Notamacropus eugenii: one gene and its partner. The protein of the gene in region 1 interacts with the protein of each later gene in a pairwise test. Links are inferred from orthologs where the notes say so. Each region holds a gene or a part of one and is shown on either strand. Other genes may lie near its edges.

What was found. The genes of interacting proteins can lie anywhere in the genome.
Region 2: the proteins of SALL2 (region 1) and ZMIZ2 interact in binary tests that used the Homo sapiens proteins (3 or more experiments, as listed by UniProt). The two-hybrid records come from large-scale screens. The link is inferred for Notamacropus eugenii from reciprocal best matches to the Homo sapiens genes SALL2 and ZMIZ2.

The regions. Positions count from the first base shown.
Region 1 is NC_092878.1:12,377,572-12,384,777, forward strand, and holds the start of SALL2 (sal-like protein 2), read left to right. Parts: upstream 1-4,114; 5' UTR 4,115-4,603; coding exon 4,604-4,676; intron 4,677-7,206. UniProt on the Homo sapiens protein: Probable transcription factor that plays a role in eye development before, during, and after optic fissure closure.
Region 2 is NC_092872.1:523,014,278-523,022,252, forward strand, and holds the start of ZMIZ2 (zinc finger MIZ domain-containing protein 2), read left to right. Parts: upstream 1-4,950; 5' UTR 4,951-5,108; intron 5,109-5,580; exon of another isoform or gene 5,581-6,540; intron 6,541-6,586; exon of another isoform or gene 6,587-7,975. UniProt on the Homo sapiens protein: Increases ligand-dependent transcriptional activity of AR and other nuclear hormone receptors.

The sequences.
Region 1 (7,206 bases):
CCCTCTGTGCTTTTCAACATTCCTTTCTTTCCCCTCCCCCTCCACTTTCCTTTCTTTCAAATCAACCTTACTTTCTCTCCCCATGTCTTTCCTTTCTTTGATCCTAGTTTCTTTTCCCCTTTCCTTTCCTGTCTCCTTGATGTTTTCATGATTTGCAACCCCTTCTTCTATTACATCTTTTCTTTTCAAATAACCAATCCCTTTAGGATCCATAAGAATTATAAATTGTCCACTTCTGTCCACCCTACAGACATCTTGCAGCATCTACAATTACAAGGGAAACACAAACACATCCCAGGATTCACCCCCCATAGGTCTCTCAGCCCTCCCCCCACCATCTCCCTTTCCCTGTTTCAGCGCCACCATCCTCTTTTACAAACACCATTTCTCTGTGTGCTTAACATGAGCAATATGGACAAGTGAAAGGGAGCATGAAAGAAGCAATTCTGATCCTCCCCTAAAGACTGGCTGAATTCCTGTCATTCTCTGAAGAATGAACTCTGAAAAGAAACACAGAAGACCAGCTAGAGCCTGAATGTTCTCCCTGATCTTTCCCCCTCCCTCTTCCCCATAACACCAGGTCAACTGCCACCTGAGTCAGTCAAGGACTAAACCATCAAATAAAAAAGGAATCCTTTGCTAAGAATTTTCTTCTTTAGTGATTTCCCAAAGAACACATCTCCTCAACTCCTCTTAGTCTCATTACATCACTATTACAGGAAACAAATGATGGGTTAAAGCTTATGGTAGGCATTTTCTCATGATCCTGAGAATATCTCTGGAAAATTTACAAGTTGAAAGTCCTTCCAGATCTGTTGAGAGGATTAAGACCTACAACTGCAGAAGTCAGAAGTGTCCACAGGTTTCCTGATTCCTAGCCTAGTTTTCTTACTATTAAACAAACACCCCTCAAAGAAGCCTACTTACTTCATTGGAGTAAAATAAAACCTTCCACAGGGTTTGAACTGTAAATAAAGTGTCAAGAGAATACTGTTCTTATAGGGAGAAAAAAGGCAGTGAAGTCTAAGGGAGAGTGCAAAGCTTTGAAAATTCTGAGTTCTTTTCTTCACTCTGTTTTTGACTTTATTCTAGTTCATTTCTCCGGTCTCTGCACCTCAGTGCTATATTCCATAGAATGTTCTGGTTCCTGCTGCCTTGACAAGAATTTTATGAAGATTGATGAGAAAACATGTAGAAAATTCTCTGAAATTTTCAAATATTCTCAGGACAGCAGTATCACCATTCTTATTTGGGCATCATACCAAGAATGAGGCACCTAAAACCTTATTTTAAGTGCTCCAGGGGTAGCCCAAGACATATGTAGGATATGGGTATTCTCAAGTGCTCTGGCTTGGAAATTGTGTCCATAATGTACCTCTTCAATAGCAATGAAAGCTGTTCCTGGAGAGAAAGAAGTTGGCCAGTGATCAAGAGGGAAGCTAAAATGGAAAATACTATAAAGAGCAGAAAAAGTCATTTCAACAGTGGTAGAGGGAACTCAGAGTTTGGGGGATTTAGTCAGTGTTTTCACTAACAACAGTGAGTAGAAATCCAAGTAAACTGCTCAGGGCTGGCACATACCACACATGGGCATTGAGGAGAAGAAATCTCAAAACCTAGAAAGCCCACCTCTACCAGTGGCAGACCTGCCAGACCTTCAGGGTCTGGGACCTCATCCCTGGGGGGCCCTCAGCAGCACCCCACACGCAGAGAAAATAGGGATTCTCTGGGGGGGAGACACTCTTGGTGATCTTATCACCCTTTTCCCACTGCATTGTGATCACAGGTGCCCTTGAACCCCTCTCCAACTTCTTGGGGCCCTCAGAGCTGGGCCTAAAAGGTCAGGTGACCATCAAACATTCTCATCCAAATTAAAAACCTCAAAGAAAAGATTTTTTTTCTTCTTTGCTCTTCTTGTGTTATTATAGAGTTCCCTCCTTCTACTCCCCCTTTCTCTAACTCTTTCTCTCTTTTCCCTCCCCTCCCTCACTCTCTCTCTTTCTCTCTCTCCTTTCCCCTCCTCCTTCCCCTCCCATCTCCACTTCACCACACACAGAAACTCCTTTTCAAAGGGGCTTTTTTCCAACCCAGTGAAGTAGTCTTTGCCCCTTTGTGGTGAGGGCTCATTAACATTCCCACAGCAGCATCTCTTCAAGGATTTTACTTTTGTAACTCTGTGGGGAGGTCAATAGGCCACAGGGAAGAGGTAAAAGGAAAGAAGAGTGAAAGGGGGAGGGCGGAAGAAAGGAGAGTAAGGGAAAGAACCCTTCCTTTCACAATGGGTAAAGAATTGGGGAGGGTGAAGCAGAAAAACAGAGGAAAGGAAGAGGGGAGCCAGGACCCAGGAATAAGGCAAAAATGGACCCCAGAGCTGCTGTTAGAGAAAGTTTCAGAGGCTCCTGGGAGAAAGAGGAGTCCCCTGTCCTCTCTTTTCTTATTTCACAAAGGCAGGTGCTTAATGGACCCTGCCTGATTAAAGAGTGACAAGACTGAGCTAAAAGCTGGCTCCACTGGTGAACAGTAGCCTTGGACTTTGCCTCTCCAGGCCTCAATTTTTCTCTCTCTACAATAGAATCACGATAACTGTCTATTTACAGGGATGTTATGAGGATAAATGAGATAACGTCATAGGCATTTTAATGGGGGTAGAACCAGAAGGGCGTCACCCAGGGTCCTGACCCTGAGGCACTAGGAAAATAATAATGGCTGATGGGGACAGAACTGAGACAGAGAGGTTTCTCAAACTTTTCTACTATAGGTACCTACATCATTCATCAACCTCTCCCTCCCCCCCCCAAGAGTGTCTGTCTGCCATTGCCATCCTTTTAATAGGCCCAACTTAATCTGCATTTGTTAGACTAAAGAAGCAAGGGAGTATACAAGGTATGCAGGCTCAGCTCAGCTTTGTGAGTCATCATGAGTGGCTGAGGGCACACTCAAAGAAAAACAGAGATAAAGTCTCCTTATGAAATACCGGAGAGAAGAACAATTCCTCCTTTCTCCATGGAAGGTGATAAAGCTTCTCCTGTCAGCTAAAGGTTTAGGGGGTTGGGAGTAGAGAAGGGGAAAAGAAGGAGGGTTGATCCAAGCAGAAAAACTGCTAGACAGAAGCCATCTTATACATTCAGAAGCATACTTTGCCTAAGTTTTAGGAGGGAGACCACAATCGAAAGATAGTGAACAAAAATATGAAACACCACTGACTGAGTTTATGGCTAAGTAGGGCTTGGACGATTCAGTTGTTTGCCAGAAGAGAAAACGATAGAATCCTAGAATCAGAATATTAGAGCTGGAAGGGACCTTCAACATCACCTAGTCCAATCCCTCCCATGGTAGAGACAAGAAATCTGAGGCCAAGAAAGATGAATCCGAACATCACTGGGTACTGGAATTATGAGTAACCATCTAGTCAGAGATCTCCCATCCATGCAGGAATCCCCCTCTACAACTTCTCCAACAAGTAGTATTCTTTGAGTGTGTGAATACTTGCAGTGATGGGGAACTCATTACTTCAAAGGGGACCCATTTCATTACTGGACAGTTATGGTAGTAAAGTCCTTTGTATTCAGTCAAAATCTTCTGCCCATTGATCCTGTCTTCTGGAACTACACAGAATAAGTCTATACCATCTTCCATATGATTGCCCTTATAACCGAGGAATACAGGCGGTCTTTGAGGTGGGAAAATATCCACACACCTACATATTTCTAATGATTCTGTATGGCTAGCAATTATTTCCCTCAGTGAAATTACTAACCCTCCTGTGGACCTTGTTGGGATAACTACTGTTGTTTCGAAGTCTCTAAATAGCCTTGATATGCTCTCCTTGCTCTCAAATTAATGCAACTGACTTCTTTCTTACTTCCCCAACTAGAAATTTCACAAAGCTCCCACCCCTAGAAATAGCCATATTATGAGACTAGACTGGGGTGACCCCTGTTCAGCCACAATGCAGCTCTCAATTTAGGGTTCCTCAGAGAACCAAAATGCACAGGGAAGATCTCAAAGAAAGAGATATCGAGGCAAAAAGGCAGGGAGAGTGCTCAGAGTGGACATCATGGGGAGAGGAGGACACAGGAGCCCTCCTAGAGAGGAATGGGTTAAATCCTTTCCACTGCAGTACAAAAGAAAAGAGTGTGCGGAAAGATTAGGATTTTTGCTTTTACAATGGGAGCTGCTGAAGCCTGGGGAAGAAGCAGAAGAAAAAAAGGGGGCGTCTCCTCTTTAAAGACTTGAGAGGAGTGAGAGCAAGGGAGAGACAGTAAAAGAGAGAGGGAGAGAGAGGAGAGAGAGAGAGAGAGAGAGAGAGAGAGAGAGAGAGAGAGAGAGAGAGAGAGAGAGAGAGAGAGAGAGAGAGAGAAGAGAGAAAACAAGAGAAGAAAGATATTGAGTGAGTGGAGAGAGAGAGAGAGAGAGAGAGAGAGAGAGAGAGAGAGAGAGCGCCAATTTCTCTTTGGAGAGGAAGAACCTCTGTTCTAGAGTGACCTGCCCTGGGAGAGGCATCCACTGGCTCCAGACCAAAGAGGCAGACAGGACCAAGTCACCCTTATTGAAACTAAGTGAACGATCGCCCCTCCCTTCCCCACCTCTCTCTGGCCTGGGTATGTCTCGGCGAAAGCAACGGAAACCCCAACAGTTAATCTCGGACTGCGACGGTTCCACCGCTTCTGAGAACGGTGGGTGTCCCAGGGAGGGATGAGAAGTGGGACCAAGCCCAGGAAAGCAGGGTAGTAGTTGGGGGAGAGCACCTGGGAGGTGGGCAGAGGTTGGCATCCAGAAAGAAGGCAGGAGAAGCCTTATCATTGAAGGAGTCAAGAAACAAGGCTTATGGGCTTCATGGGGTAACTTGGATTGGGGAGTGGGCCCCCTCAGCTCTCCTTGGCGTCCTTTCTCTTTTTGTTTTCCTGTTGTTTGCCTCTCAATGAAAATGGAGTTTCCAAACTGGCTCTGTCTCCCCCACCCAAAGAGTTTTTCTTCATGTCCCCTGTGCTGGCTGGTCTTTGTGCCGTTGCTAAGTAACGACCTCAGACCTGAAGACTGTCTCTTAGGGGTGGGATTTTCCCCCTTTTCTTTCTGGGGAGTTGGGTTGCAGGAGAATGAGTTGGATAAAAACGTGCATGTTCCCCTGAGAGGGAGGAGAAAAAAAGTTTCTCATTGTTGAGTTGAGAGAGAAGAGATCAGAAGAGCTCTCCCAAGGGAGAGTGCCTATCTGTGACAGTGGGAATCAGACCTGGTTTTTGGTGTGAATCTGTGTCATTTGGGGTAGATGTTAGAGGGGGTCAGCCAGTGTAAGTGGTTTAGGCTTGTGCAACAAGGCTTATTTCAGAGGAGACTGGAGAGTAAAAGTGTGGGAGTTTGCAAAAGGGGCTTTTTAGTCGCTGATGTAGCTTATATAAATGTGAATATGGATGTATATATTATCATATTATCCACTATTATAAAAAAAAACCTTGGATTTGTGGAGATTTTTTTCTTTAAAATGACAAAAAGCTTTTTGTTTTACAACTTTTATTTATTCTCCCAGCACTCCTATAGGCAGAGGCAACTTTTAATATTTCCACTTTACAAATAGAGTACTAAATTCAACAAATATTTGTTAAGGGCTTATTATGTGCAAGGGATTATATTGAGTGTCAGAGAGACTATAATGCTCCAAGTCACACAATAGGTCAGAATTATAGCTAGAACAAGGATGCTGCTGTCCTAACTTCCTGTCCCAATGTCACTATGTCAAAATTCACTAAATTATTCAGTGGGAAGGATGGATGTTTAAGTATACAAAGCCTCTATGATGACATACTGAACTCTAGAGAGAATCTGGCTACGTGAGCCCAAAGGTCATGTACTGAGCAGGCGAGGTGGGGCAACCATCATGATATACTAGTACAACTTCCCCCAAGGTAAGAGGGAAATGAATCAGACAGAACTAGGGAACTCTGGTGAGTTTGGCTAGAGGTTACAGAATGGATTCCATGAAAAACAGACTCCTAGGTAACCTATTTAGCAAAGAATGGGGTCACAGGTGAAATTCCCCCTCCCCTCCATGCTAGGAAAAAGACCTAGGGGCCACAGAGATCAGTTCACAGTGGGCTTCTGACTGTGGAACAGCCTTCCTTGGCACACAGATTGTGGTTTGAGTGAACTGCATTTTCTCCGACTCTTATGGAAAGCCCAGTTCAGATGTTCCAAAATTTCCTAGAATCCTGCTGTGTCCGTATTTAGTAGTAGAGTGGTTATGGCTTCCTACCAATCCTACGCCAAATTAGTCCTTCATAGTGCTGCTTCTAGGCAGGTTGTTTTTTCCTCATGCTCTACAGGAGATCTCCCTGAGAGGATAGGAATCATTTCACAGCCCAGCTCCCCTGCTGGTTCCATCGTGGAGCGATGCTGAACCCCTGGAGTCAACCATAGCCCTGCTTCTCTGCTCGTTTCTGCCTGCTAACTCACCCCCAGTACCAAGCAGCTCAAGGAAAAACCACTGTTACCAAAGAGGGTCAGAAAGAAGTCTCCAATGGCCACCCAGTACAGAACTTTTACTCTCCCCAGTTGTTCCATTCCACACACCTTGGATACTGGCGATGTATAGATAATGTCACATAAATCATCACCACTAGAAACAGTCTGAAGTATGAAATAGACAGTAACTCCATTTTTAGTGCTGCCTTTGATTAAGAAAAGACCAGAAATACAAAGTCAGACCAAAGGGCAGGGAAGGGATTGCAGCCTCTTTTAGGATGGCTGTCATCCAATTCCTTGGGTTTACTAAGTGCTCGCTCTTCAGAACCACCTAAACATGAACAACTAACTGATAGCTAGATGACACAGTGGACAGAGGGCTGGCTCTGGAGACTGAAAGAGCTGAGTTCAAATTTGTCCTCAGACACTAGCTTTGTGACCCTGGGCAAGTCACGTAACTTTAGCCTGCCTTAGTTTCTTCAACTGTAAAATGGGGGCACTAATAACGCCTAGCTCACAGGGCTATTGTGAGGATCCAATGAGAAAATCATTGTAAAGCGCTTAGCACAGGCCAGGACACATAGTAAAGGCCACATAAATGTTAGCTGTAAACACTACTTTTATTATCGATATTAGCTATTATCATTCTGACTGTGATTGACCTTGTTGATACCGATGAAGTTTGCAAAGGGTTTTTCTTATACTTTCCAGTGGTATCCTGCTTTCCAAATAGATTTTAAACAAGGGGTC
Region 2 (7,975 bases), on another chromosome or scaffold:
TTTATTTGTACCTTTCTGAAAGCAGTGTGGGATACAGGGAAAATCACTGGATTTGTAGTCAGAGGACCTGCTTTCAGATCTCCACAGGTCACCTGTATAACCTTGACAGCGGGTAAATTAGTTTCTTTCTTTCTGACTCAACTTCATCTGCCAAGTGAGAGAGTTGTACTGCATGATCTCTAAGTTTAGAAGGGAAAGGGAAAAAAGATATGGGAGGATAGCTAGCAGGGATGGATGGATCAAGTGAAGGGTTTTTTGAGGCTAGGAGAAACACGGGCATGTTTATAGTCAGTAGAGAAGCAACCAGTAGATAAGAAAAGATTGAAGATAAGTGAGAGACTAAAGATGATACAAGGGGCAATCCACTGGAGATGGGATGGAATGGGATCACTTGGGCATACAGAGGCATTTGCCTTGGCAAGGAGAAGAATCACCTCTCCAAGTGAGACAAGGGTAAAAGAGATAGTGAAGAAAGGCTCCCCCATAGTGTGGGTTGAAGAGGAGGGGGACAAGAAGGAACTCTCAGAGAATGGCCTCAATTTTTTTTTTTTTAGTGAAATATGATGAGACAAGGTTCTCAGATAAGAGGTTAGGGGGAGGGACAGCCATGGAAGATCTGACAAATGATTTAAAAAAAGGTTTAGAAAAGGCACTATGGTAAATGGGGTAGGGAATCCATTATGGAGGAAAAAATGATTGCTTTGCCAAAGTAGGGGCCAGTTGATATTATAGAACAATAATTTGTAGTGGACCTAAGTCAGCACGTTTCTGTGATTTTTGCCAACTTCATTCAGCAGCTCATGAGTAGGAATAAAGGGAGTGTGTATGATGGAAGAAATCCAAGGTTAAGGTTTAGTATGGCAAGATTTTTGATAGGATAAAGGGACAAAGGACTCAGGAGAACAATGTGGAGTTAAATTCATCAACCAAGGTGTCAAAATGGGGAAGAGAGGTACTGAAGGCTGCAGTGAGAGTGAAGAACAGGGTCTGAAGTTGCAGCGCAGAGGGAGAGGTGGAATAAGATGTTAGGATCAGATAAAGGAATTTCAGAGTTCATGAACATGAAAGGGGGTCACATGTGAGTGACTGTGTGTAGCTGAGCAGAGATAGAGTGGGAAATGAGTAAGTGAGAAATTGAGAGGTTATGTTGTTTCAGGAAATATCAATTTGTATATTGAAGTTTTCTAATATGAGGGCAGGAGTTGGGTAGAAAAGAAAGACTGTGAGCCAGGAAATGAATTCATTAAGGAAGAAGAATGTTCTGTTCTAGAGGTCTACAGACAATGGGCACCAGAATCCTGGTTGGCTAATAAATATGTACTAAATGAACCTCAAAGGAAGAGAGCTTATTGAATGATGGTAGTCCAAAGAAAGTGTGGAAGTGGCAATGGAGAGCCACTTCCAATTCCAGTTCCCCCACAACACTCAGCAAGTTGGGGGTACACACGAACATGCAACCAATACTACAATTCATAGCCCCAGAAGCCATCTTACTCATCAAAATGGAGCCAAGTCTCAGTGAGTGCAAGGTAGAGTGAGCAAGAAAGAAAAAGATTTAAGATGCGAGCTAGTTTGTTACCCATGGAGCAGGCATTCCAGAGAGTACAGTGGAAGGAGCCGGTAGCTTTAGAGTGGAATATGGTGGGGGTGGGGATGGGATAAAAGGGGATGGGAGGATACAAGAGCAGTCAGGGGTTCAGAATCTCTGGGAGGGGCAGGGTAGGATGTGCTAGGATTACATTAATCTTTGAGAAAGAGTTTAGATAGGTTGTTGTAGTTCTTAGGAATTTGGCTGCAGGGGTGGAGTTGTCCCAGACTATATCTAGTAGCTATGTATAGCTGGAAGGGGATGGGGGAGGGGAGGCAACTGTTTTGGAATTGTAGGAAGTCAGAAAAGGTGCCTAGAGCTCTATGGAATGACTGCTTTAGGAGTCTAGGAAGCTCCCTTTCTAGGCTGGCAGGCCTAGGAGAAGCAAGAAATTCCTTAAAGCCTCAAACCCTGTAACTCAACACATTTATATACTTACAGAGGCAGTTAAGTACAATAGATACCAGTATAGTGCTACTCCAGAAGTCTGGGAAACTTGAGTGAGTTGCTAGTAGTGTGACTAAGGGTAGGCAACCACCTCTCTAAGCCTCACGAAACTCTCTAAGACCTACTAAGCTTTAGACTGCTTGGGGATCTACTTTCAAGGCTGCTCTGGCTCTTCTTACATGAAGCAAATTGTTTTGCAAATCAGCTATTGCTTTGCTTTTTTAAAAAAAAAATTAATTTATTTTTAGTTTTCAACATTCACTTCCATAAGGTTTTGAGTTCTAAATTTTCTCCAGCTTCCTCCCCCTTGCCCAAGACTGCACAGTCTGATATAGGCTCTACTTATACATTAGTATTAAACATATTTTCACATTAGTTATGTTGTAAAGAAGGATTAGAACCAATGAGAGAAACCACAAGAATGAAGAAACAAACAAAAGAGAGCAAATAGTGTGCTTTGATCTGTATTCAGACTAAATAGTTCTTTTTCTGGATGTGGATTATTGCTTTGCTTTTCATGGCAGATGTTCTATTCCCTCAAGGAGGGGTTCTTAAACTGGTATCCATGTCCATGAACTCTGTGTGTGTGTGTGTGTGTATGCGCATGCCTATAAAATGTTATATATATATAATACGCTTTTTTTTGGTCATTTTGCCATTTCTGTCACCAGCTCATTTTACAGATGAGGAAGTAAGGCAAACAGGATTAATTGACTTGCCCAGAGTCAGGCCACTAGCAAGTATCTGAGGCTGGATTTGAATTCAGGTGTTCCCGACTCCAGGTTTGGCATTCTGCACATTGTGCCACCTAACTGCCCTGGCTGATAAATATATTTCAGTATCATGAGTTTTCTTTCAAATGCTATGTATTTTATGAAGATAGTGCAGTACTCCACAAAGCTTTTTGGAACACCCTATATAAACATTATTCTGAGAAGGGTTAGTTTTGCTAGACTGCCAAAGAGTCCTACAACAGAAAAAGATTAAGAACCACTGCTTTATGTTGTTTAGTTGTTTTCATCCTGTCTGACTATCCATAACCCTTTTGGGGGTTTTCTTGGCAAAGATACTGGAGTGGTTTGCCATTTTCTTCTACAGCTCATTTTATAGATGTGGAAACTGAGGCAAGCAGGGTTAAGTGACTTGCCCAGCAAGTGTCTAAGGGCAGATGTGAACTCAGGTCTTCCTGACTCCAGGCCTGGCACTGTGCCACCTGGCTGCCCATGTCTTATGCTTTACATTTATCCAACAAACATTAATAAGGTTCACTACGTGTAATCAATCAACTAACATTTATTAAGCACCTTCTATTTGTAGGGTCAGGGGCAGCATGACAGAGTAAAGAATAGGCCTGGAAACCAAGTAGACTTTGGTACAAGTCTAGCCTCTAATTCACTGGCCATGGTCATTATGAGCCTAGAAAAGTCACTTGTCTTCCCAGGTTTCTATATAACTCTCCACTATGTTTCTGTGCCATTGCATTGGCAGAGGGAGTTTCTTCACTCAGGAGTTTCCTCTACAAAAGAAATCACAGGACCAGTCTCTAGCTTTTGTTTTATATGACAGGCACTAAGCAAGTCTCCGGAAATACAAAGATGAAAAGGTAACAAACAGTCCTTGCCCCTTAGTTTAAGATCTGGCCTGGGGATACAGTGTCTATATGCATAAAAAGTCTTTACAAAATCTAGACAGCCACTGGAAGAGATACAAAGTTCAGATAAGCTACTGTCTATCTTCATGGAGTTTATAATCTACTAGGACATAGGCAGATCATTGCAATACAAAGTAATATATTAGAGTTTAGGAGATAAAAAAATCAGGTACTATGGGGAGAGGGGGAGAGAAGAAGGTGCTTTCTGCCCTGGGGGAGTCAGAGAAATTGGTGGAGATAGCTTTTGGAGCTGGACTTTAAAGTCTGGAGAGGAATCCAACCAGCCAAGTGGGGGAGAACATTCCAGGCATGGGGAATATCTGGAGAAAAGAAGTTTACTAGACAGCAAGACCCAAGAGGCCATGAACCTCCGCCCCCACCCTACCCCCACCTCTCTGGACCAGACTTTGGCTTTGCATACAGTAGGCTGCTATAAGAGCTGAGATGAATGGTCACTGGCCACAAGTCTAGCACCGGACTGTTGTTTTCCGTGTTTGTTCTCCTCAATAATTGTGGTCAGACATATTTGTTTTCTGTCATCCACAGCACCTAATCTGCCCAGGAAATACTTGTTGGCTGACTGGTGGTTGTCCATCATCCCAATGAAAACCAAGTTTCTGGAATTTAGAGTTTACCTCTGACTTGCTCCCGAATTCCCACCCATCCCCACCCCCTTCGGTTTCCTGCCAGGACTCTGGGGTGAGAATTGTGGAATGTACAACACAATTGGAGGGCACGCCTGGCTCTGCCATGTGTCGTTCCCAGTTTGGCTACCAGGGTAGCGTGGCCCCAGATATCCAGAACCACCTGGGCTTCCATATCCCTGGTCCAGGGTGGGGGACAGTTCATTACTACACCTCTCAAATGCAAAAACAACCGCCTGGAAGTGGCCGGGATAATCGTAGTAGGAAGGGGGAGGGAGAGGGGTGGTAGTGAGTGGATGGGAGTCCAGAAGGATAACTGGGGCAGGGGGAAGCGTCAGGGGATGTGCACCTCTTCCCAGCTCCCTCCTCGCCCCTCCCCGGGCTTCGGGCAGCAGAGCAAATCCCCCCGCCCAGCTCCCGCCTTCTCCTCCCCGACATATCGATCATTCGAGGATGCGTTGCTCTCGCCTGAGGTGGGGCTGGGGGCGGAGCCAGTCTCCCAAGCTCATGCATATGGATGATGCGGCGGCAGCGGCATCTCCATTGTGCAATCGGAACCGGGAGGTGGCGGTGGCGGCGGCGGCGGCAGCGGCCCCTGGAGCAGGGCGCCTGAGCTGAGCCCCCCGGCCGGCGCGGCGGCCGCGAGGCGGCATGGAGCAGGCGGGCCGCGGAGGCGGCGGCAGCGGCAGGCAGCCGGCGAGGCGCTGAGCTGGGCCCGGAGCCGCAGCCGCAGCCGGGCTCGGGGGCTCCTCGACAGTTCCGGGCGCCCGGCCGGGAGGTGAGCGGGCCAGGGCTGGAGCTGCGGGGAGGGTGGGCGAGTTTGCCGCGCCGGAGGGTCAGGCACTGGGCCCGACGCCAGGGTGGTCCCGGGGTCTGCGAGCCCCCCTTCCTCCCGCCCCCGCCCGGGGCTGGGTTCCCCGGATCCCCTCCCGCCGCGGAACGGAGCTGCCACCCTCACCGGGGAGGCCAGGGTCACCATGGCAACGAGGCCGCCGCGGGGGCACGGGGACACGGGGGCGCGGGGCCGGCCGGAGCGAGGTGCCCGTGCCCGTGCCCAGGGCGCGCGGCCGGGCCAGGATGAGGGGCCCCCGCGGGGAGCCGCGGCAGCGCGCCCGGCGGGCCCCCTTCCCACGCCGGCGGCGGCACCGTGTGGGTGTCCGGAGCCTGCCCGCCCCCCCGGCCCCGGGCTTCCTCGTCGCGTCCCCTTCCCCTGGGCCTAAGCAGTCCTTAGGAATGGGCTAGCCAGGTCCGACGAGGCTGTGACTGTTTGCCCAGTGGAACCCAGGCGAGTGTTGGGGCGCTCCTGAGCCTCCCTCCCCCCGCTACACACCAGGCGGCTGCTGCTTCCTTTGCATGGGAGAAGGGGGGTTTAGCATCGGTGATGAGCAAGACCACCCCATCCCCCTTCTGTTCCCTTCCAATCTCTATGTTGGGACATACCTTGACTGAATTCCTTTCCTTGGGGTGGTCTTACGCAGAAATGACCCTATTGTTAGGCAGAAATAACCCTTTTGTCTCCTGAGATTTTCTCTTTCGCCCAACTTGAGCCATTGTTTGAGGTTTGATTGGGGAAAACCCAGTTGTTCTGAGAAACCAAGGGGGTGGAAGGGGGGCCCTCTGGGAACCGAGATTTTACTCATCATTCAGTACCTTCCTTACCTGTGTGTGGTGAGAGGAGTGGGCCTTCCTGGATAGCTTCTCCCTTTACAGATAGGTATTGCCAGGCCTACTTTAGTTTGTCTTGCCAGGCACACTTTGGTTTTTCTGTCCCATCTTCTTAGAGGCTTCCCCATCCCAAACTCCAATATGTGTCCACCAGTATAGTCTGTGACCCTACATGGGCTGGTCCCAAAAGGTGCTATATATTTTTCCAAGGTAGACTGTTTACCTTTCCAGTCCCCTGCCATGGCCTCCTAGAGAGCACACCCCATTCCAGAATGGGGAAACTGAAGCCTGGAGAGGCTAGAATTAGGACACTCAGGGGTGGAGCATAAAATAGCAGTACTAATAATAATGTCAGTAATAATGTCTTTGACTCAAAGTACTTCGTTTGTATTATTTATTCTCACAGATTTTTACTTAGAGAAGATTTCACAGGGACATCTACAGAATGTCATAAATCATGAAGGGTACAGATAGGGTGAACCTGGACTTAATCACCAAATCCTGGAATACTAGAACTAGGGGGCACTCCTTGAAGCTTGAAAAAGGTAAATTTAGGATAAATAAAAGAAATTCTTATTTTTCATAGTAAACTTAAAAGAACTAATTATTCCAGGAGATACAGACTAAAAATATGAATGTTTTTAAAATTAGCTAAATTAATAGATGATAGATCCGTAATGAGTTGTTAAGGGAAACTAGAATATTGTTTTTTGGGGGGTACATCTCTGATATTTTATGATTCATATCTAAAAGAGCAATTATGCTATTGCATAAAAGATCCCATGGGATCCATGTTAGACCTACAGTCATGGACTGGCAGGCCATGTTTCTGACCCAAGGAGTAGTTCTTTTGTTCTTATTCACTTGACAGTCCTATGAAATAGACAGGAGCAAGAACTGTTTCTCTCCCCCTTCACCTCCATTTTGCTTATTGGAGAGTTCAGGTTTAAAGTGATTAAGTAATCTGGCCAAAATCACTGTGACTGAAGCAGCATCAGAACCCAAGTATCCAGGCTCCTGCTTGATGCTTATTCTAGTAGCTTATGCTACCTACCAGAAATAGAACACAGCCAGTCCAGTCACACAAGGCTGTGATCCTTTCTGGTAGTACAAATTAATCCTCCTTCTCCCTATATTACTTGGGACTGAATCAAGGGAATGTTTCATTTTCTGTTCCCCACCCCTGTCAGGAACTCTTCTGTCCCATCATCGCTGTCCTGTCTGTAGTCTTCTCTCAATTCATCTGGTCTCCTTTGTCCCTTCTACGGTTACCTTTGCCACCTAGAAGCTACAAGGTAGAAGTCTGTAGCTGAAAAAGTCCTATTAGCAGCTTTTTGCAACCTCTGGAGAATGAGTTGCCACAGGGCCATCCTCTTGGGAGTCTGGTTGATTAGGTGGGAAAGCAGAGAGGAATTGATCCTGTTGCTCAGCTTCGAAGAGGAGTGAACTGTTACTCCTGTTCCCATTTGAAAGCCTAGGCTAACTAGAGTGGAGCCTGAAGAGAGTCTAAGTATATGGAGACAGACTTAGAGAGTGCCTCTGGAGCCATACAAAGTTAGTACCTGTAGGGTTAGCCATCAAGACAGACACTCAGTTTAGAATGCCTTTGCTCTTTAGTAGCTTAAAGCTGTCTTGTCTTTTCCAGTTACTTAGGAGATTTTGGGGAATCTCTTCATCAATCAGCCAGGTGCTTTTTGATCTCAGATTGTTCATGGTGAGAAAGAAGGCTAGAAACCATGTTTTCCATGTTCTCCCATTTCAAGATGGTCTGAATTTCTCATGCTATTTGACTGTACAGATTGCCCCTGTACCCCAGTGTAATAGCATTGGGGGTATCAGTCTGTCCCTGTTATCAGTGAAAGTAGGTTGAAATGCTGCCTATTACAGAGAAAGGAACTGTATATGGTGCCAATAGAGCAAAGGGAAGGGAAGCCAAGAGATTGTTGCTTCTGTGTTTTTCTTTAGGGGGTATAAAACTGA